2 linked regions of the Rhinolophus ferrumequinum genome follow. The protein of the gene in region 1 interacts with the protein of each later gene in a pairwise test. Links are inferred from orthologs where the notes say so. Each region holds a gene or a part of one and is shown in the gene's direction. Other genes may lie near its edges.

Region 1 (10,650 bases):
GCGGAGAACTTTTGTTTTTGTTTGGTTTGGTTTTAGAACAGAAGTAGGGTAGGCACAAGCAAAAGACAAAATGGCCTCAATATTATTACAGTAAAAAGTACCCGGGGCTAACGTTATCCTAAATTACTAGTCTACCAGTTCAGGAACCCAAAGGGAAGAGAAACACTCTCTTTGAAGTGCAGTAACACTTCTATTTATATTGTCTCTTCTTCGTTAGCTAACAATCTTATAAACAGTAGTAGCAGGGTACATTTTTTGAGCTTGTCTCTAGTAGAATAAGAGTATAAGTCAGGAGTTCTCCTTGACATACAGGATGGGAATACAGACTTAGCAGCATCCTATTCTCAAACAATATTGAGGGGAGGGGAGCGCATGCAGTCCCCTGACCTTGACTTCTGACTAAAACTTGGCCCCAGTATCTTTGAGACTGATGGGAATAGTGGTAGAATATGCTGCTGGGGGACCGAGTGGGTAGGTAGATGATAACTCTCATTTCAAAGCTGCAAGCACTTTTCTATTTTGCAAGAGATGGAGACTTTCATGTGTCTTATAGTATTTCTTTGTTCAAAAAAAGCCACTGAAAGGGCCATGAAATTGTGTGAACATAAACCGTAAATCATCAAAGTAGATGGTCAAAATTAAAGAAGCTGAACTGCTCTCTAAGGTAAGACAGAGATGGAGGTCTGCAGACTACATGTCCTTAAGGAAGATGTTTCTTTGTCCAGGTGTGGATTCAGGCTTCATTCATTCCTTGAGTCAACAAATATTTATTGAGTCATTGCGCCAGGTGCTATCCTAGGTGCTGGAGATGGCAGTGAACAAAACCAACCCCCCGTCATAACAGATCTTATACCCCAGTTGGAAGTGAAAGACAATAAACAAACAAAGAGTAAAAATACTGTATAACAGATGTTGATAACTGCTGGGGAGAAGAATAAAGAAAAGTAAAGGGACTTTCCTTTTGCCTTACAACAAACAAAAAACAAAGCAGGTACTGTGCCTATAACCTGTGAATACATGGTTGACCACAGAAGATGGAGGAGCTGTTTTCATGCAAGACTTGTTAAAACACGGGCTTTATGGTCTGGGTGAAAAAGTTGGAGGGAAGGGCCCTTCTCCTCAGTACGCTGCAGTATTTGGAAGATCTGGATTACTGTTGGGGGCCCTGTCCATGATACACCATGAATACCAGGGTAGTTCCCATTTGTGCGTGTGGAATAGAACCACAGCGCACCGTCACAGTGGCTGCGAAACTGCAACTAACAATGCCTTGCTGGCCTTAGGATAGCACCTCACAGCAAAGGGGAAGTGATAGAAACCATTTTGGATGGTATTTTTAGGGCCTCTAGGAGGTATGGAGAGAGCATAACTAGCTGTATTAGTAAGAGTGAGACCAAGAAAATTTTGTATGAATTTCTACGCTAGAATACCACAGACTTCCTCAAGATATGACAGGTGAGAAGGGTCTGGAAGCTTACGTAGTCAGAACTGAGGGACACTACATTTCTAAAAATTCTTTTAAATGGAAGAGAAGTGTGTGGCAGGCATACCACAGTCCATATCCCGCCCAGATACTTCCTCTAAATTGAACTGATACTTGGGAAGAGGCAATTTGTCAAGCAAAATTGTCCCATAACAACAGAAATTGTGAGTGTCCTCAGGGGGTACAGCACTATCACAGCCTGATGAGGAGTCTGACTTGGAGCCAAACCAGGCCCTGAGCTGTTGGCAACTTTCTGGGGGCAGAAAATATATGGAGAGGATGGAGGGTGCATGAGGCCCTGCACCAGGGCTCTGAATGCCTGTGTGAGCGTGGCCAACTACCCAGCACAACCTAGACTGGGACTAGTCATGTCAGAGTGGAACAGGATAAAGGACTGAATGTGCACTAAAAGTGGGAAAAAGCCCCCGCAAGTGTTGACACAAGAAGCTGTTGCAGTGGGCAATGCAGAAAGGGAAGACAGGGTGAACACCAGAAAAACAGGTCTAATTGGAACGACAGGTTATTTGGAATGACAGGTGGAAATTCAGACTACAGGAGAGGTTAGAAGGTCTCCTGGAATTCTTGCTGAGTAGTTAATATGGAAGAGAAAGGAATGGGGGTGACATGGGGGTCTGTCCTTTAGGACTCCTAAAAGTAGTTTGAGGGCACACAGCAAGCAACTAGAAGTCTAGTAACTCAGGCCTTAAGTAAGGGGTGTGTGTGTGTGTGACCTCGTGGCCATGTCTATGACACTAGAGTCTCTTGAGAGAGTAGGCAGTTGGAACCCCTCTCCAGTCAAAGGCTCAAAAGATTTGAGGGTTCTTGTAAACTACCATGCCAATTTCTCTGTATAAGCATGGAGATGAGCAAAGAAGGGTGGCAAACCCCCATGAGAGGCAAACCTCCCTCCCAGGCTGATAAAATTTAGTCTAATATGTGACAGACAAAACCTGCAACAATACCAGTATTCTTAGCCTCTCAATATTTCTTACCCTCTAGGAAGGGACCCCTGTCATTGACAGCTGGGGCTCCTGACATCTGTGCAGATGAGGGGAAGGGGGGACAGAATCAAAGGAGCTGAAACAAGGAGTTTCTTCTTGTAGAAGAGAAAAAGGATCCATCCAAGAAGTGAAGGGGGGCAGGCAGTGAAAAAGCAAGGGCCATGCTTGAGAGAAAGTTTGGGGATGTTTGGGGAGAAAGGAGAGAGAATGGCAGACAGCTATGCCATAAAGAGAATGATGAGGGAAGAGAAGTTTAAGATGTCTTCCTCTATGCTAAACCCCTTTAGAGTTTTCCCAGAGATTATAATAAAAAATATAAATTGCTTTTTAATTCTATTTGGCTATTAGATATGTTTCTTTTGAATGTGATATCATGCCGAGATGGGCCACAAGGCAACTCAGCTTCATAAAAGTTGAATTTGGGGAGACATATCGGTGATTGTGGACTTAAGGATGAAACAGTTATTCTAGATCTAGAGGAACAGAGCAAGCGTCTTCACCATGACTGTTAGATTTATAATGCCAAAAGTATACCAGCTATATAGAGACTGGAGATAAACTACACAACAGCTAGAGAAAACTGGCAGAACTACTGAGAATCACAATTTTAGAGAGAATGTGACGTTTGGGACTAAGTGTACCTATGTGGAGACTTCTGTGTATGCAGCATGGACTCTATTCCCCTCCTTAGCCTATGAGACTGGAATGAAGGAACAGAACAGCTAGGTGATTCCCAGAAGACAGAGAAAGGCGGGAAGCAGAAGAAGAGTGTGCAGGGTTTCTTTTTTTCTTGCTATGTGGCATACTTTTTATATGTGAATACTCTAGTGACATGGCCAGAGTACCCATTCAGCCTCTTTTTCCTTGGGAATGGACCCACTCAACAAACGCCAGGGAATTGGAGTCCAGAGGGCTCAGCCCTGTATCCCAGCAAGATAACTGAGGCTCTACTTCACTCTCTGCATCTGTCCCCCTTACTTTCTGAGACTAAACCCTTCTCCTATTTTCCCTGTCTCATGTTCACATGGAATTCCTAAAATTATCTGGTTCTGAATCTGAGGCACCAATTGTTTCCTCCTTATGTTTTCAAGTTCTGCTACTTGTCCACTCCCCCACTTCCCACCACCCCTGGCTCTCAAATGTCTGACCTGGAGCTTGACTGGATCAGCCCCACCCCTTGATCTCTGCACTTGTTTCCCAGGGTCTTTCATGCTTCTCCAATAATTTCCCCTCCCTCTAGGCTCAGACCCCTGGCACTCTCAGTGGACTTCTGCCAGCACCTCTGGGAGCATGATGTAATCTTATGCTGAAAACCTTGACATACATGGTATCCCCAACAATAGTGGCAAAGGGCCTTGTATGATGGTATAATCCAGCTCCTACAATATGGGGGCTACATTTAATGTAAGGTGAAGGCTAAGAGGGAGGCCCTATACTGGGGACAGGGTCAGTCCTTGTAGATGGAAGCAAGAACTCACCTGAAGGGTGAAGGAGCCGACAAGTCCATGCCAAGTGTTGGTCAAGAAATGTGAAGCAACAGACCCAAGCAAAAAGACCTGCAAGTCACGACTGTCTTTTCTAGTTAGAGCAGAGTATAGATTTTTTTGGTAAAGTCAGCTGTGCTTAGGGAAGCCAAGGAAACGCATTTTTGTCTTCTCCTGAGCTTTCTGAATAACCTGTAGGGCACATGACAAAGGTGGGAGAGATAACCAAGGTGAGAGCGCCACAAGTTTGTGGAATGAGTAAGGAAGGAATGAGCAAGCAAACAGGATTAGATCATTTGTTTTAGAAAATACAATACCGTAGGGGTTTTAATTTGTTCATATATTTGTTTAGAAAATCAAATTTCTAATGGGTGCACAATACTTTATTATATCAGCAATGCCTTAAACACTCTGCTGTTTAGGGTATTTTCCCAATTATTTCTATTTTAATAGCAGTAAAACAGGCATAAGCCAAACAGTTCTTTAGTGCCCATAAGAGTTCCTCTGGGCCAGTCCTACTTTTCCTTACCAGAGTACACAACCAGGGAAACCTTGAACCACCAGGATACAAAACACTCCCTCATACCTAGCTCTTCCCCCATCCTGGAGTGATACAGTTCTTTTCTCCTCCCCAGATTTATTTCTTCTCGTGAACTTCATTTTTGGTTTCTGATCATTTGGCCTCTCCAATTGACTAAGGTTATATTAGTATGCTGCTACCCAGGTGCTGTTTACTTCTGAGTCTGAAGTCATCTGTAAATATGTGAAATCCCATTTTTCTTCCTCCTGCTCCCCTCCCACTTGGCCCCTTAAGTAGGGAAAGGAATTGTCACGAAGGTTGAGACACTCAGTGTAGGTCTGTACCTGGGCACCAGGCCTGAGGAGGGGCAGCTATCCTTACACACACTGTCACCCTTTCCACCTGTGAGCTGATGCACAGGGTTACTCAGAAATAACATTATAAATTATCCAGTCCAATCCTCTAACAGATCAGGAAAACGACTTATTTAAGGTCTCTGAGTTAATAAGTGGCAGATACAAAACTGAGTTCAGGTCTCCTAAAATCCACTATGTGTGGGCTGGAGGGTTACCGATGGGGGAACAAGACATAGGGTTCTTGTTCTTCATTCAACAAATGTATTGAGCACTTACTACGTGCCAGGCACTATTTTAGGTACTGGGGATTCCCTGATGGTGATGGAAGGCACGGAGGAGACAAAAATCTCTTCTCTTATGGAGCTGTCTTTTTCAAAACTTAAGTACTTTGCCTCATCATCCTGGAAAAATTCCCAGTGCCCTGGGTAGGAGTGGGTGGGTCTCATACGGGAGGGGGAATCTCATTCTTTCTCGGTTCCTGTGCTATATCTACACGCAGAGGGCTGATTTACTGCAGAAGCCGAATAGAGATGCGGAAACCTCCAGAGTGTCCTCCCCCCTACACCTCCAAGGCCGGCCGGGCCGGCTCCAGGGCGCCGCCGCGTCCCAGCTCGTCTAGGATGCTGTATCCTCTCTGCTTTCCTGCGGACCGCTGGAGGACAGAGAAGCAGAACTCGGCTCTAGCGCAATCCTCTGAAGAAGGACTGCGGGCAGATGAATATCCTTCCAAGGTAGTAGGCTCAGTGTGTAGCACCCAGACTAGGAGAGGGGATGACCTCTCCCGGACCTGGGGGTTTATGCAGCAAACTGCTCTCATGCTTCCCTAAGAAATATTGCAACCACACGCTCTTTCCAGCCTCAGCTGAGGCCACTGCAGCGTACCCTCCCCTCCCGCCCCACCCGCTCGCTCACACACCAGAGCCCCACTGCAGCTTCCCAGCCATCCTCCCTTTTCTTCTCCACTTCCTGGTTGCCATGGAGACACGTCATTTACGTACCGTGCGTCGCCTTGGAAACGGGAGCATCCGCGGCGCTGCTGGGAAGCCCGCCCCTGCCGCTCCTGTCACACTTGCAGGCGCTGCCAGTTAATGGCCGGGGGGGAGTCCCGAGCTGGACCTGCTGCTGGCCTTGGCCTCGACCCGGGTCCCTTCGCAAACGCTTCTGTGATCCAGGGAATCGGCGGGCACTTGCTGCTCGTGGCTCCGGGAGGGCGGCGCTGACACGAGCGCAATCCAGAAGGCGAGGCAGCAGGAGAGGGCACTTTCGCCCCGGGGCAAGCGGCAGAGACACCGGCCCTGGGACTCTCGTCGGGTCTTAGTCCCGCAGGCTCTTCCGGGCCTCCCCGGATCCTGCCGCACCCTCTGCCCGGGACTCGTCTCCTCACGTCGGCTCCCCGCCCCTCTCAGGAGCATCCCCTTCCCTCGGCTCCTCCCAGTCCCTCCCGGGACCTCGCCTCCTCCCCGCCCCTCCCCCACTCTGGAGGCCGGGCTGGACCGGACCCAGAGCGGCCACCGCCCGCTTCTGCCATTCAATGGAGGACGGTCTGCTGGAGATCATGACCAAGGACGGCGGCGAAATGCCGGCACCTCTGGAGGTGTCCACCGTGCCGGCGGTGGGGGACGTGATCTCCGGCGAGTACAACGGCGGCATGAAGGAACTCATGGAGCACCTGAAGGCCCAGCTGCAGGCCCTGTTTGAGGACGTGAGGGCGATGCGGGGGGCCCTGGACGAGCAGGCTTCGCACATCCAGGTGCTCTCGGACGACGTGTGCGCCAATCAGCGGGCCATCGTCTCCATGTGCCAGATTATGACCACGGCGCCCCGCCAGGGTGGCCTGGGCGTGGTCGGCAGCAAGGGGAGCTTTCCGGCAGCCCCGCAAGAACCAGAGACCCCTTCTCCTGGAATCGAGGACAGCGGTTTGCTGGGTCGAGATCCTGAGGACGAGGAAGACGACGATGAAGAGGACGAAAAGAAGATGCCCCGCTCCGCCACACCCACTAGTCACTGTGAGCGCCTTGAGAGCCCCCGTGCTGGTCTCCTTGGTGGGGCCGGGCCACTTGTGGAGCCCCTCGATCTGCCCGACATTACCCTGCTGCAGCTGGAGGGCGAGGCCTCCCTGTGAGGGGACTCCGAGGGGCACTACTTTCCCGGGCTGGCTTTGGGTTTCCGAGTGCATGACGCCAGCGGACTCAACAGCGCGGTGCAGCACGCTTCACTCCGATCGCTGCTCTTGTGGGTCAGGCAGAGAGAGACTCCCTGGAGGAAAGATCGATAGGGTGAAGGACTTTTTGGGAGCATCAAGAATTCTTTCTGCCTAACCATGCGAGACGTAGCAAACTGCGGAAAGGTGAGGTTCCCGGAGAGGAAGCGCCCATCTCTGGACTCTCCCATCCATCCTCTACCCTTCCTTTCCCCCTGCCCAGCCAACAGGAGAACCCCTGAATTGTGTAAATAAAATTCTGCTTTTTCTATTATGAAAAAGGACTTTTCTAGGACTATGGCAAATAGTCTCTAACGATTTACCTAGAAATTAAGGAATTGGGGTATTCTGTTCTGGCAACAGAAAATTTACCCTTCTGCTGAAATCCAAGATATTCAGCGCTCTACAGAAGCCTCTCCCCCTCACAGATCTCTGCGGCTGCTGATTGGTAAAGAAAGCTTGAGGAGGGAACTGCAGCCCTAGGAATCTGAGAGAATGGGGTTCCCAGGGCCCCCGGGCTGGGAGGAGCTGGCTGTGAATGTGCATGAAGACATAATAGGTCGACCTCTAGGATTTTGCATGCAGAACGGATCCTGCCTTGCCACTGACTTCATCTGGAATTGCTTTATCCACTCACTGGGGCTTAGAGAACAAAGAGCCCAGTTCACAGGCAGAGACTTGGGGTGCTCAGCAACAGCCCAGATTTAGGGGACATTTGAGGGACTCTTGGGAGCTGCAGCCAAAAACTGTCTCTCTCCTGGCTACACCCGCTTAACTTCAGTTCCTTTCCTGTCAATATGTCCCCTGCCTGCTGCCTCTCGGTGTTGCCTCCATGTCTTGTGTGTGTTACGTGTGTTGACTTGTGTAGTAGTGTGTGAGCCCTTAGGGGCAGGGCTTGTGGCTCTGGTGTTAGGTTCAGGGGGCTTCAGACCCTTCTGTGAGCCCCTGGCTATCATGGCGCTTTCCCCTCTCCTTTCCTCTTTTCCCCCACAACCAGGGCATGGAGCATGTGGCTGTCCTGAGGTTCTTAACTGATGTGCCTCCCTCCCATCTCCTCAATTGGTGACTTTGTGTGCCCTTCCTCCTCCTCTGTGTATTCCTTCTGAATGCTTTCCTTGGTATTAATCTTAATAAAGAGGTGTCATCTCCCCTCCTTGCTGACTGGTCCTAGGGCGATGTCAGTGTCGGGCTTCTGGGCCCGTTGCATGGACCAGGACTTAGAGGGAACCACAGGGACCATGCCTTCCCTCCTCTCTCCTTGCCTCCAGTTCCAAGGAGTTGACCATCCCTGCCCTGGTTTGGACAGTCCTTGCCAACTCTATCTGCTTTCCCTTCCATCCTGGACCTTGACTTCCAGCTGGACTGGGAAAAGAAAGGGTACGTGTTGAGACTCCCAAATTAACAAGGGTTTTTAGTAGCCAGAACTCCAGATGTACAAGAGACTTCTTTTCAAGTGAAGCACCTGGCCCCTGATACATGATTTCCAAATCTGAGTCCTGGAATGGCAGGCATGACACCTGTTTCCTGGGAGGTTTCCGGAGAGGGTATTGTTCGGGAGGTTTTGCCGGGGATCTCTGGGCAGAGTGACACATCATAAAGGAAACCGCAATAACTGCCTCAGGCCTCTAGTGGAGAATGCCGGTAAGGTGTTCCCCAGGGAGCTTAGACTGACATCAGCTGTAGTCAGCTCCCTTGGGCGTTGGAGATTTCCCAAGGCTATCCCAAACAAAATTTGGGAGAAGAATGAAATAGGATGCTGTGTGTGTGTGTGTGTGTGCGCGTGTGTGTGTTTGCTGCTGGTTGCTGCAGAGAAGTGAAAAGAGCATTGGAGTCAAAGAATCTCAGTTCCAACACTGACTGACTTCTTGAGACTTAGTTTCTGTATGTGTAAAATGGGGACAAAAAGTTGTAGGGGAGAAAATTATCTAAGGCCCCTGGGAAGTCTTGTGCAAATGTTAGTTTTCTCATATGTAGTTTTCTTGGTGGGGGTCGGGAGGTGTGATGGTGATGACTGCTCTTCTGGGAAAACAAAACTACCTAGGGAAGGTTCTAGAAACTCTCTTGTTATATAATCCTTCCCTATCTAAAGAACTTTTATCCTTCAGAATAATCAAGTAAAGGGGGATGATGAGATTCCCAAGCTGAAATGAGTCTTTTCATCATAAATGTCATGCAGTTATGGGCCAAAAAGGTCTTGGGGGCCAGCCCTGTACAGGTAGTATGACCAGAGGAAGCTTTGAGTTGTAGAGCGGTTGGGGAATGTGGGCTGGGGCCCTAGAGAGGGCAACTAAAGCATATTAGTGGGGATGTGTCCCTGGAAGTGGCTAGGAGATAGGTTCCTATTATGGTTCCAGTATTCAGCACCAATATCAACAATAGTAGCTATCATTTATTGAGCACTTACTATGTGCCAGACACCGTGCCCAATATTGTCTCCCAACAACCATACAAAGTAGGTACTATTATTTTCACTTAACAGTTCCAGAAACAGATTCCAAGACTTGCTCAAGGTCACACAGCTAGTAGTTGGCAGAACTTAAACCCAGGTCTTCTGACTTAAAGAACCCTTGATGGGAGCCATTCTACTAATTGCTCTTTTATTTGGATCTTCAGAGAAGAAAGTCCCTTATTCCCCAATCAAGAGTCTAAGAGTCCTGAAAAGGAAATAACATTACTTTCAGTCACTTTTTTATCTTCTCAATTGGAACAAGAAATTGCAATTCAGGTTTTGGTGACCCTTCTCAGATACCAGTGGATGGCAATACAAGAATGGCACCAAGAAGATGGTCTTCTGGACCTGCTCCTTGCGAGGAAGAAGCCGATGTTCCCAGATACTCCCTGACACAGCTCCATTCTTGTTCTTTCCCGTTCCCTATAGCTCACATTCTGCAGAGGCTGATGTGAATCCCAAAGCAGTGTAGCCCTTTTAGCCTCTGTAGAAAGGTCTGGTTGAACCCTTGAAGCCTTGACTCTATTTTGGTTCCCCTTCCTATGCCAACTGTCCTAAATGTGTCATCAGTCCCTTAGCCCTGCCTCCTAGAAGTCTTCCACCTATTCCTTCTAAGTCCAGATAGATAAAAAATATCTCCCCAATAAAAGCAATTCTTCACCTTCCTTCAGTGACCTGCACCAGCATCTCACAGGGATGCAACACAGATTAGTCTCCCACCTCCTCCTTCCTCCCTATTCCCCACTCTCCTCTTGCATTTCTCCTTTGGAATGCTCCTGATGAGTGAGTTTCAGATGAGATTCCTAACCTGGGACATGATGGGAGTTCAGGGGCCATAGCCCCTTGAAATTGAATGCAAAAATCATGTAAGTATGTACATTGTCTAGAGAAAAGGTCTGTTATTTCAACTTAATTCTTAAAGGTAAGAATTAAGTCAAAAAGAATCACTGAGCCAAAGAGTAATGAGACTTTTTAACTTGAAAAACACCAAAGAAGAAAAGATCCTGCCTGAACTGGTACTATATTGAACTGGCAATACACCCTTGCTTCCTGGGACCTCCAGGGTACTTCCTACACTGAATGGAGCTCTTCACATGCGTCTGATTACTCCCCACCTACTCAACAAATCCAAATTATACTGGTATCCATTAGAATGT
Region 2 (10,945 bases), on another chromosome or scaffold:
GAACTTAGGCCAATTGGTTCCCAGTAAGATATAAGCAAAAATTTTAAGAACTAGATAGTAAATGAATGAGTGTGACTGGATATGGCCCATGGGCTGAAGTTTGCTGATTCTCGAACCAATTTGAAACCAACCAGTTTCAAATCAATAGCAGCATGTACTTCCATTATTTTCAGCGCCTCACCCACCATGTAGCCTAGAAAGCCAAACCAAACTACTAAAATGTATTGACTTGTTAACATATTTACACTTTTAAAACTTTATACAAGAGAAACAATCTTCTAGTCACAACCACTCTATGATCAGTCTGTCACTTAATTCTTAACTGGACTTAAAACTTTTACTTGCTTGAATCCTACGTACATAGGTCAGCACACAACAGATACAAAAATACTTATCAACTACTTAAAGATAACACTAAGAATGCTTCAAAACTTAGATATTAGGACTAAGTATAAAACCACTAGTAAATTACCAAAATCACTCACATTAGCAATGTCATTTTCAGTTGCACGAAAAGGCAATCCTCTCATGTGTACAAAATGACCACCATGAAAACCTGAACTGGCATCACCAGCTCCACCATAGCCATGTCCTCCCATACCTAGAGAATAAAATTTCCAAGATTATAAACTGATACGTGTAGAAAAGAAAGCATTTCTTCCCTACACACCTTTCCCAATTTACACCTTTTTGACAACCTCGAAAGATCTTAACACAGGTGTTCTGAACATCAAAGAGAATTTACTTTTAAGTATACATCATATAAAAGCCCGATGTAGGAATGTATTAAAAGATGCCTGAGTTGACTTTATATAAATCACTTATATTACCACTAGGTAGTTGTAAAGCAAATACTTAAATTGAAAATGAGTATGTCTTTAATATTTAGTTTACCTCTTCCATCTCTCATTCTGTCATCAAAGCCATCATTTCCATAGCCATAATTATTATAGCCACCATAGTCATCAAAACCTCCATAACCTGCATAAGTTGAGAAATACACGAATACACTTTAAAGAGATACATTTTATAATCTAGTTTACAAAAGCATACTTTGTGATAAGCAGTCTGGTCAAATTATTAATTATCACAAGTTTACAACGCCCAACGTGAAAAAAAAGCAGTTAACACTTGGTGGAAATTAAAATCACAAAAAGATACACTTTGATATCAAAATTTTCACCTATGCCAAACAGAAAAATGTCAAAATTTTAATTCCTGTATACATTATCTAGGTGCTTATATGTGCATCAATCAAGTCCCACAGCTGGCCATGGGAATTTGTATTTTCATGAACAGGTTTTAAAACCTAGTAGGTACTGAAATTACTGCCATTTCTATATTTCTTGACAAAGTGTCAGGAATATTAAGAAAATGACAACAGAACCTTTGTTCATTAGATACACATACCACCATCATATCCATCACCTCCTCGTCGCATTCTGTCATACATACTTCCACGCCCAGCTCCATAATAACCCCCTCTTCCTCCTATTGGTCTATCATATGGTCCCGGTCGCTGGCCCAGCAATCTTCTTGGTGGATCATATAATCCTCTGATTTCACTCCTGTTACTTCTGAAGATCTCAATATACCTATTTAAAAATGGTTTAAGGTATAGGTTTCAGCTTAAATGTATTAGAGTAACTAAGATATCGGGCAAAATGCAGTAAGTTTTTCTATATCTAGATACATAAGCCAATTTAAATTGCCTAAATACACCATAAAGTTAACATTTTAACATCTACAAACTTAAATAATACTTAAGTTTACATAGACAAATTAGTCATTTGAAAACAATTTATAATATAAATATAATTTTAACTTGTTTCCTTTAGTACATGATAGGAGTTTAGAAAAAAGTTGATTATACAAAAACATTTATCAACATCCTACAGAAAATGGAAACAATCTAATTTTAATTTAAGCCAACTATTAGCATTAATTCCCCACCCAAATCTGTAGTTTCCAAGTTAAATTTAGATAATTATCAATTCTTTTAAACTACCCCAGAAAAATGTTACTGTTACCCCCCCATTTAAGCAATAGTGACCCACAACCCCCAAAAATAAAAATTTAACACCATCCCAAACTCTCCATCCCCACCTGTGCCCTATTCTTTCCTTGTGTTTCCCCAGAGCATTTTCTGCTATCTCCTTTGAAGCAAACTGCACGAAGGCCTCCCCTGTGCTTCTCCCCTGGTAGTCCATCGTCAATGTTATCCCATTTGGCACGATTTCCAACCCTTTAACCCAAGGACAAATAACCCCATCAAGGGGAACAGTGTTAAAGGCTGAAACATTCCCATCTGAATCAAATATTTAAAACAAGTCTAAACAAAACAAACAAAAAAAAGCTTAGTTCCCCATCACCCCATAATACAAATGGAAGATTTTTCAAATATTACTGGATTACATAAATTTTTTTGTGACCAGTGTCTTTTAAAATTATACACATACGCTAAAAGCCCACCTATATTAAAAGAAAAAAAAAGCTCGAATCAAATTTATGCTCCATATGCTAATTCATGGTTCATTTTATCACACATTACTCTCAAGTTTATTGCACATTAGTTTTTACATTTTCTACACATTCTGTATTGAATATTAACTGGAGCACATCCCACAACTTAATACATTAACCAATATATACCCAAATTAAAAAGTCCCCCAAATAAATGGGTTTTACAAATTAAAAACTGAGTAATATAATGTAAAATTAAAATACTACTAAACTTTGACTAATACTAGAGGTACCTTGAAAGAACTGAACTATTTCCTCTTTGCTGCAACCAAATGGCAGTCCACGAAGTCGTACTGTCCCATCACTAGCGTCATTTGGACCATTATGTTTCATAACCCAATCCATCTCAATACCGTTTGATTTAAATGCTATAAAAAATAAACAAGCACATAAAGCAGTCAATCAAAATATACTCTTGTCAGAGGTACTGAAGAAACACCTCTCAGTGATGCATAACAGGAAATACAACATACAACTCAGTGACACTCCGGCGACAATGCCACAATACAACAGTACAACAGCTTTCTGTTTTGGTGGGGTAAGCAAAAAGACTGGGGAAAGGCTGTGAAACCTAACCCTCCCACCAAAAAGTACTGAACTGAATTTCTAAGGGTCAAATATTATATGTTGCCTAATTTTAAGATAGCTTACATAATTTCACTATCAGTCTTCAAATGTTCCCTATTGCTTGACTGTCATTTAATGTCAACTTTGCCTCTTCCTCCTCTCTCAAAATTTTAATTTTCCAGGTTTTATTATTCACTTGAATAGTTCGTTCTGCAAATTCTTTAAAACTTCATTACTCAAAAGTTGCACATAGTACCACTATCCATTCACAGTAAGAGCCTAAGTTAAAAGTACGAGTATGCTATGATGTTGGAAAAATGGCATTACAAAAGCCTAAATTTATTAGATGCACTATAATTCTGAACATATCAAATTGTTTTTGAAGGGGGAAAAATTCGTATCTCTATTTTAATTAAATCTAGTTTAAACACTCCTCAAGAGCAAGTTTTAAAATGCCTGAATTAGGCTGGATTTGAAAACTGAGGTAACAATACCACTCAAAGATGAATGCCTTCCAACAGTATCAGTGTTTTTTTGAGGCCACCTGTTTTGGAAGTTATTGAAGATAGTGTATTAAATCCCAATTTACTCACTGCTTTACTTTTAAACACAAATTAAAAAAAAATACATTCACATTCAGAAAGTATCAAAAAGGGTACAGTAAGAAGCCCTTTCCTTTCAAAAAGAACCCATCCACCCAGTCTCCTTCCCAAGACAACCATCCTTTCTTTTCAACTTCCAGAACACTATAAAAGAGGCTAATGCAGAAGTCCTTCAGCTGCAGAAACTTACCAGACCTTACAAATTTCACTGTGCAGCTACAAGGAATCCTACTCACCTGAATATTTCAAACCTTTCCCTCACCACCACCTCCCCTGTAAACAAAACAATTTGTTCAACTTCATTCCTTTATTTATGCTCAAGGATTATATTTTGTGTCAACAGTATTCACTAATATTTAATTTCAGTTAAGTATGATCTAATTATCAGTGCAACTGTTAGGGGCAGCATCTGCAAAGAGTAAAATTTCTTTTTCCTAGAATCTACGCAGTTAAAATAAGCTAATGTAGACATTTTCAAATGTGGTTATTAATCAAACATCTCTGCATATAAATCACCACCCCTGGGACCTGTTGTTTTTTAAAGCCAGTATCCTAGGTGCCACTCTAGACACACCCAAAATGGGAAGAATAGAAATTTTTATCTGACATTACATCTAATTCTTATGCACACAAATAACTGGTATGAACTTTTTAAGATAAAAGAAACACTGGGTTTGAATCCCTAGTCTGTCACTCACTGGCTACTTAATTTTCAGCAAACTGCTTAACCCGTGTCTAACTGTAAAATAAAGCAGTGGTCTGAGACAGGACGACCATTCAATGGTGGCCAGTGTTACTGGATTTGAAGAGGCTTGGTGGAACGAATGAAATGTACCACAAACAAAATAACTGAACCTTAAAGGATAGAAATGTACCCAGTCTTCAAAGGAGTAAGAACTGTTTGTTACAAGTCTTTTCCAAAGTCAACAAAGGCTTTACATTTTCATGTTTCCTTAGAAATCATCTAAAGCAGAGAAAAAAAGCCAGGGTTTTGGGAAATGTTTACTACAACATGTTAGGCTAGATGATTTTAAAACACTGTTCTAATATAGCAGCCCTGAAAGAAGAGGGCCGCTAATCTGTTTAGGGAAAAAAGTTGAGACATTATGAAGACCTACCATTTTCTTTTAATAAACAAACAAACTTTTCAAAAAAATAGCACCGATTTAAATAACAGCCATTTCCTATAAAGGGTGATTTAAGAGAAGAGGGAGAGAGTATCCAACGTCACATGTTAATTTCTCATGAAAAATGTAAGAACTTTGCAAAGTCAATCTAAACTGTTGTGAAAAGATGTTAGTGTGTTGCTTTTTATCATTTAGCACTTTTTTTTTCAATGTAAAGCTACTGTTTTGGGGGAACACACACAAAAAATGGAAATCGACTTATCCATACTACAAATCTTAGCACTTTCCAACAAACACTAGCAAGAAAACTAGTTTTGATTTTTTTGATCAGCCCATACCAATGAGACCGATATAAAAACAAGTAAAGTACTATGTCTAAAAACAAAAACAGAGACATACACACTAAACTGTTTTAAATTAGGGAAAAGTTAAATTTTAAATTTGGGAAAAGTTAACCAGATTCGGAAGAAACTTTTATAGGGCAAGTCTCCTTCCTATGTGCATGTAGAGTACAAAATAAAAAAAGACATACTATTTTCTCTTCAAAATTCAATGTTAGAGTCTAAAATTTTACTTACAAAACAAAAACCATACAAAAAGACAATCTGCTTTAGTACCTTCATAAAGTTGTCTCAAAAACTACCTAAGTTTTTACTAATTTAGAGTCCATCTCAATTCTGCTTTTAAGAATGACAAGTGTTTAAAAATAAAAAAATCACAAAAAAAGCACCAATTAAAAACACCATCAGTGGAAATATTAGGATAACTGTAGTCAGTTTTGTAATTTTCTAAACATTATGCTGAGACACCAGCCACAAAAGAACACATAGGCCTACTGTATGGTTTTAAATGTATTAAGTTTGTTATGCAAATTTTATCTCAAAGCTGTTAAGAAAATGCACCTAACAAAGGCCAATGAAATACAAAATATCTTTACAAGAGATTATAGTGTCTTCCAAGGTATAATACTTAAAAGGGTTTGATGCATCCACAAGTAACTTTCTAAATGGTAGCCCACTGGTCCTAAAACATGAGCATGAACTTCAAATTTTGGCAGAAAAGTGGTGATGTTTAACTGAAATGGTTTTTCATCATTTCCCCCTTCCAATGTGCTTGCTCAATTTTGAATTAAAAAAGACTAATCACTTTTTTAATCGCTAATACTTAAAGGTGAGGTCACGAAAAATGAGTTTTTTTCTAGAAGAAAGTTACCATCTATTACAGTTCAGCAGCTTGTTCATCAAAATGAGGATACCAAAAAAGAGCATGGTTATTAAAAATACAAAGGCAATTAGATGGATTTCCAGATTCTGATGCAGATGAGGGCAGAAAATTTCTAGGACAATCCAATTAGGAAAGCTGTTATATCATATACTACTTTATAGGATAACTCTGGGCTGTCTTTTCAAAGTCCACTAAAATCATAAAACATCTTCAATAAGAATGTTTTTGTTTTTAAAGCTGGAAAAGTAGAAAATAGACTTCTTGTAAAGACCCATATGCATTATGGGAAACTCTTCTCATGTCTTGCCAGTCCTTTTTGTACCGTGAAAATCACCTAGCCAGTTCTCCTGTGTTATAAGGACCAAAAATCATGGCAACCACATGACTTGGATTTGTTTTTCTATTGAGTAGGTGTATTTTCTTGGTCAAAATATTACTATAGTCCTATACTAATGCCAACAGTCTTCGCACAAAATACAACTCTTGCAGATTTAAGTCAGTAACTCAGCGCGCACACACACACACCCTTTGCCATTACTGGTTGTGTTTTAACCGTTTCTCAAATGTAAAAACTGCTTAAGTTCTAACCCAGTACGTGCCAAAACTACACAAAAATCATTGCTAAACCATTCCACCCCCGCCCAAAAGTTCAGTAAGCCGTATCATAGTCACAGTTCACTGGGCCCAGACGACCTATTTGAAACATGCCCATTTCACATTCCTATTTTATAAGTCACCCACTTTTCTGCTTACAAAACAATTACCCACAAAGTCTTTACGTTTAAGATAAGCATGAAAAAAAACCCTTCGGAAAATGAGTACGTACTCTTTTCGAAGTTCCGAATCTGGAATATAAGGGCCAGATAAGCGTCCTTTATTCCTCCCCGGAGACTTTTCGTTTATCTAGCTGCCCTAGAGACCAGAAAGCTAGGGAGAGTACTCCCCTTTCCCCCCCCGCCCCCCGTCCGGCAGCCAAGCCTGGCTTAAAATCCTTCGCCACCGGGCGGCGGAATTACAAAGGAGACCGTCTGCCTCCTTTGTCCTGGATTTGGGAGTTGAGCGCCTTCGTCGCCATTGGCTTTCCTCCCCCAGCTCCAGCCTCTCTCATCTTGAGAATCTGCGTCAGAAGTCACTCGCAGTCCCGCCAGCCCAGGTAGCCCATCCGAGACTGCGGAGGAAGGGAGGCCGCGGTGGGAGGCCAGGCCCATCCCGCGCCATTTCCAACGGGAACGCGCCCGCCTGCCCAGGTCCTCCCCCCACCCAACTGCCCGGCCTTTCCCTGCTTGTTTCGTCCCCCACCTTCACCCCTCCAGGGCGCTGTGACCACCCTTTGGCCTTCTAAATCAGTTTTCGGAAGCTGAGGGGCAGAAAGTAGAGAGAGAGAGGAAGGGCGGGAAGCCGAGGTGGCCGCGCCACCGTACCCAAAATGGCGGAGGCCAAACCAGCAGGGAGAGGGGAAATGCTGGATGACCCCCACTTCAGGCCTCGGCTTCGTCCACTGAAGTCCACCTGAGCAAGTCCTCCCACCCCCCGGCATGCCGCCCTCCTTGAAGTGGGAGATCGCCTGGGAGGCGCAGCCTGGCCTCTTCCGAGCGGCGACCTCCACACTTCACCCCCACAGCACCCCCTCCCCGTCTCTTTCGTCCTCCCGACTCCGCTCTCGAAACCACCAGCCCAACCTACCCCCTTTTACTTCAGATACCCTGTCGAACGACAACAGCGCCGATTCCGGGACTCGCGATGTCCGATCGTGAGGAAGAAGTCGCTTGCCTACTGGAGCGCTCCCCACAACGGTTCTTCCAACCGTCTCCGGCGGAGGCAACCGCTATGGGAGCTGCGCAGCAGAGCGACTGGCTTGGGGGGATGGGAAAGCGCGAACGAGGAGGGGGTGGGCGGAGCGAGAGCAACGAAGATGGTCCGGCCCCGTGCTCGCGAGATCAGAGAGTTGGTCCCGCTTTGGCGCGGGCAGCAAGTAGTACGCTTGCGCACTGGTAGGCTGGACCACTGTTGGAGGGGAGGTGTCGAGGGCTGCCCAGTTAGAGAAAGGGGCGGAGACTTCGCCCTTCCTGCTTACCGTACAACCAGCAAGTTCTCAGAGTCCACCTTTCTGCCCTCTCCCGGACGATAAGTGGCGGTCGTAGTCTTGCCAACGTGTGTTGAAGGAACCGTGGTGTCGCAGTTTGAAAAAGTTCTCTGGTACTCTGCCCCACCAAGAACAAATTCCATAAAGGCCCCGCCCGTATCCTAGCGTCGTCTGCGTGGAAAAGGCGCCACGTGGTTCGGCTGCCAAATGCAGGGAGGGTTTTTCTCGTCCACCATGTTTGCATTATGCAGTGAAAATAGGATTATTTCTCCGCTGCGGAGATTCAGAAGTGCTCCCCAGACCCCAATTTCGACTCGAGCTAGGGCTCCAACTTCGTCGGGCCCTGGCGCTTCCGCATCGGGCCCCCCCAGCGGGTTTAGTCTGGGGGGCTTCTTGATTGATTTCCTCCCTGCCACGTTCTTCTACAAATCGCTCCTCGCTTTCTCCTCGCCTTTGCGCTCTCTGTTGCCTTTCATCTTTTCCACTGTGTAACGTCAGTGACCGACCAGTCGTTCACGGCCGACTTCGGGTTTTCGAAATAGAGCTTTGCATCCTTGAAAATTGCGTGTACAAGTGACATCTAATACTTTTTGATTGTGCTGTCACCAAGGTTCCTAGTGACACTTTATAGCCTTTTTTTAATTAAAAAAGAATGCAAGCCCAATTTCTGGGAAGAGAGGAGGGCAGTACTGGTAAAGAGATCAATGTAAATTAATATCCAACGTGGGAAGGGAGATACATGAAGTGAGAGGGAGGAAAAGAAATGAGTTTGAACACACTTGTTCCTGTAGGTTGGAAAGGTGGACACAACTAGGTTGTAGACCCTCAATACCCAGCCAAAGACTGGACTTTGTACTACAGCTATTGGGAAGCCCGTTGAGGATGGCGTAGGGGGCGCAGGGTGTGTTAGTGGAGAAGCTTGAACAATTTTTTCCTCCTTAAGATCTGCAATGTGTAAAGACAGGAGGCCGGTTACGTTCAGATAATGGAAACTTCAATTTCATGGCTTTCATTCATTCTCAAATGTGCTTAAGACAAGTGTGGGACAGTGAGAATTGGTTAGGTCATAGTGCTGTACTGCCTTTCTTGAGCCTATTCCTTCAAAATACCCCTCAGAAAAGGGGGAAGGGATGGTGTGGTCATCATTGAAAGAGAGAAAAAAACAGAATAATGTAATAATAGCTGACGTGAATTGACAGCATGCTTGAGCTAAACGCTGTGCTCAATTCGCTGACTCTGTACAACCCTGAAAGATTATTATTATCCCCAATTTACAGATGAGGTACCTGAGTTCTAGATAAGTGAGAAAGTTGCCCAAGGTCACACACCTAGTGGCAGAAGCTAGGATTTGAACCCAAATGAATGGTTTTACTCCAGGGACCAGGGACTTAAAAGAACTAACCTTCCTGGGGTTGCAAATAACTTAACCATGCTAAGGAAACAAACATCATTTTAGGCAAATTGAAGTTACTTCTCCTAATAAACACTAGAGTTGTGATCTCAGGAGACCTTGCTGTTAACAATTTATTGTCTGGAGACATTTGAACAGGCCTGAAACTTGATGTCCTGGTGTCATTGACACTGTGAACAATCCCCCCCCCCCCCCTTTTAAAATAATTTCTGTGTTAGTAAGTCTCCAACCTCCCACACTTCGGATGGAGTTCTTTTCCTCCGTTCAGGTTACATCCCTACGTCATCCTTTCAATCTTTCAACCTGATTTGGTGGATGGAATTCTGTAATGCCTTTCACCCTTTTCCTGAATTCAAACAATCTATTTACTGCCTTGTTGAGGTTTGGCACTGCACATACTTACTTAGTGTGGTATGGACCACAATCCTAAAATCATTCTAATGACTTTTTGCCACCACACCGTGATGTTTTGTTTGTTTTTTTTCTGTGTTATTTTTTGGGGGGGTGGGTATCACAATTTCTTTGTATTGGGCACTCCACTGTTTGCCAGTGTGAATGCTTACAAAGAACTTGAAATTAGTACATATGTTCCTTTTGCTTTTTTATTATTATAGCAAGTAGGAAGCTTTGAGTTTTAAAAAAAGTACACTATATAGGGGTAAACTTAATTTTTATTTGGCTTCCTATTTTACTACTTTTCTCAACAACAACAACAAAAAGTCTATCAACTATTCCTATTTGCAAGTTGAATCCTATCCTGTAAGTAAGCCTTGGTGAACTGGTTTACCACTGCTCCAGTGATCCCTACAGAATTGTTTCCAGATGGATCTCTGTGGAATTGTTTCCATAGAGATGGTTAGAACTAAGGGCTCCCAGCTGCTTTTGGGATTTTTTTTTTTCTCTTTGTCTTTCTTTCAGTCATTTCAGTGCTTTCCTATTGACATAGAGATCAGAGGGACCCTGGAGAGGATCTTGTTAGAGGCCATAATGAGAGAAAAGATGAAAAAGGAGAAAGAAATAGAAGTACCCACATCACCCAGGGGACAACAAGACAAGGAACAGGTGATCGTGTATTACACCATCAACATGAAGAGGAGAGGAAAATTCCATGCAGAGCCTGAAAGTAAAAGAAAGATGTAGAAACTGAAAGAGATTGCGCTTCTGGGAGAGGAAGACACATTAACTAAAAATTGGTTAAGATAGTTGTTCACATACCCTCAATGACATTTGAAAATAACATAAAAAGTGGGTTATCATAATCTTTTTGCCTATATGAAAAGCAAATAAGTTAAACATAACAAAACTTATGCATAAGTTTCTACGAGCATGTCTAATTGGGGTATAGTTAATGCCTTCTGAACACTAAATCTGTCTTACTAACGTTTTGTGAAATGCTTGTTCTTGGATT

What was found.
Region 2: the proteins of CCDC184 (region 1) and PBLD interact in binary tests that used the Homo sapiens proteins (3 or more experiments, as listed by UniProt). The two-hybrid records come from large-scale screens. The link is inferred for Rhinolophus ferrumequinum from reciprocal best matches to the Homo sapiens genes CCDC184 and PBLD.

The regions. Positions count from the first base shown.
Region 1 is NC_046293.1:49,612,917-49,623,566, forward strand, and holds CCDC184 (coiled-coil domain-containing protein 184), read left to right. Parts: upstream 1-5,845; 5' UTR 5,846-6,375; coding exon 6,376-6,966; 3' UTR 6,967-8,197; downstream 8,198-10,650.
Region 2 is NC_046299.1:46,946,013-46,956,957, reverse strand, and holds the start of PBLD (phenazine biosynthesis-like domain-containing protein), read left to right. Parts: upstream 1-7,057; 5' UTR 7,058-7,196; intron 7,197-7,726; exon of another isoform or gene 7,727-7,928; intron 7,929-10,945. Other genes in the region: HNRNPH3 (heterogeneous nuclear ribonucleoprotein H3), read right to left, coding at 486-601, 895-981, 1,411-1,595, 2,107-2,245, 2,757-2,868.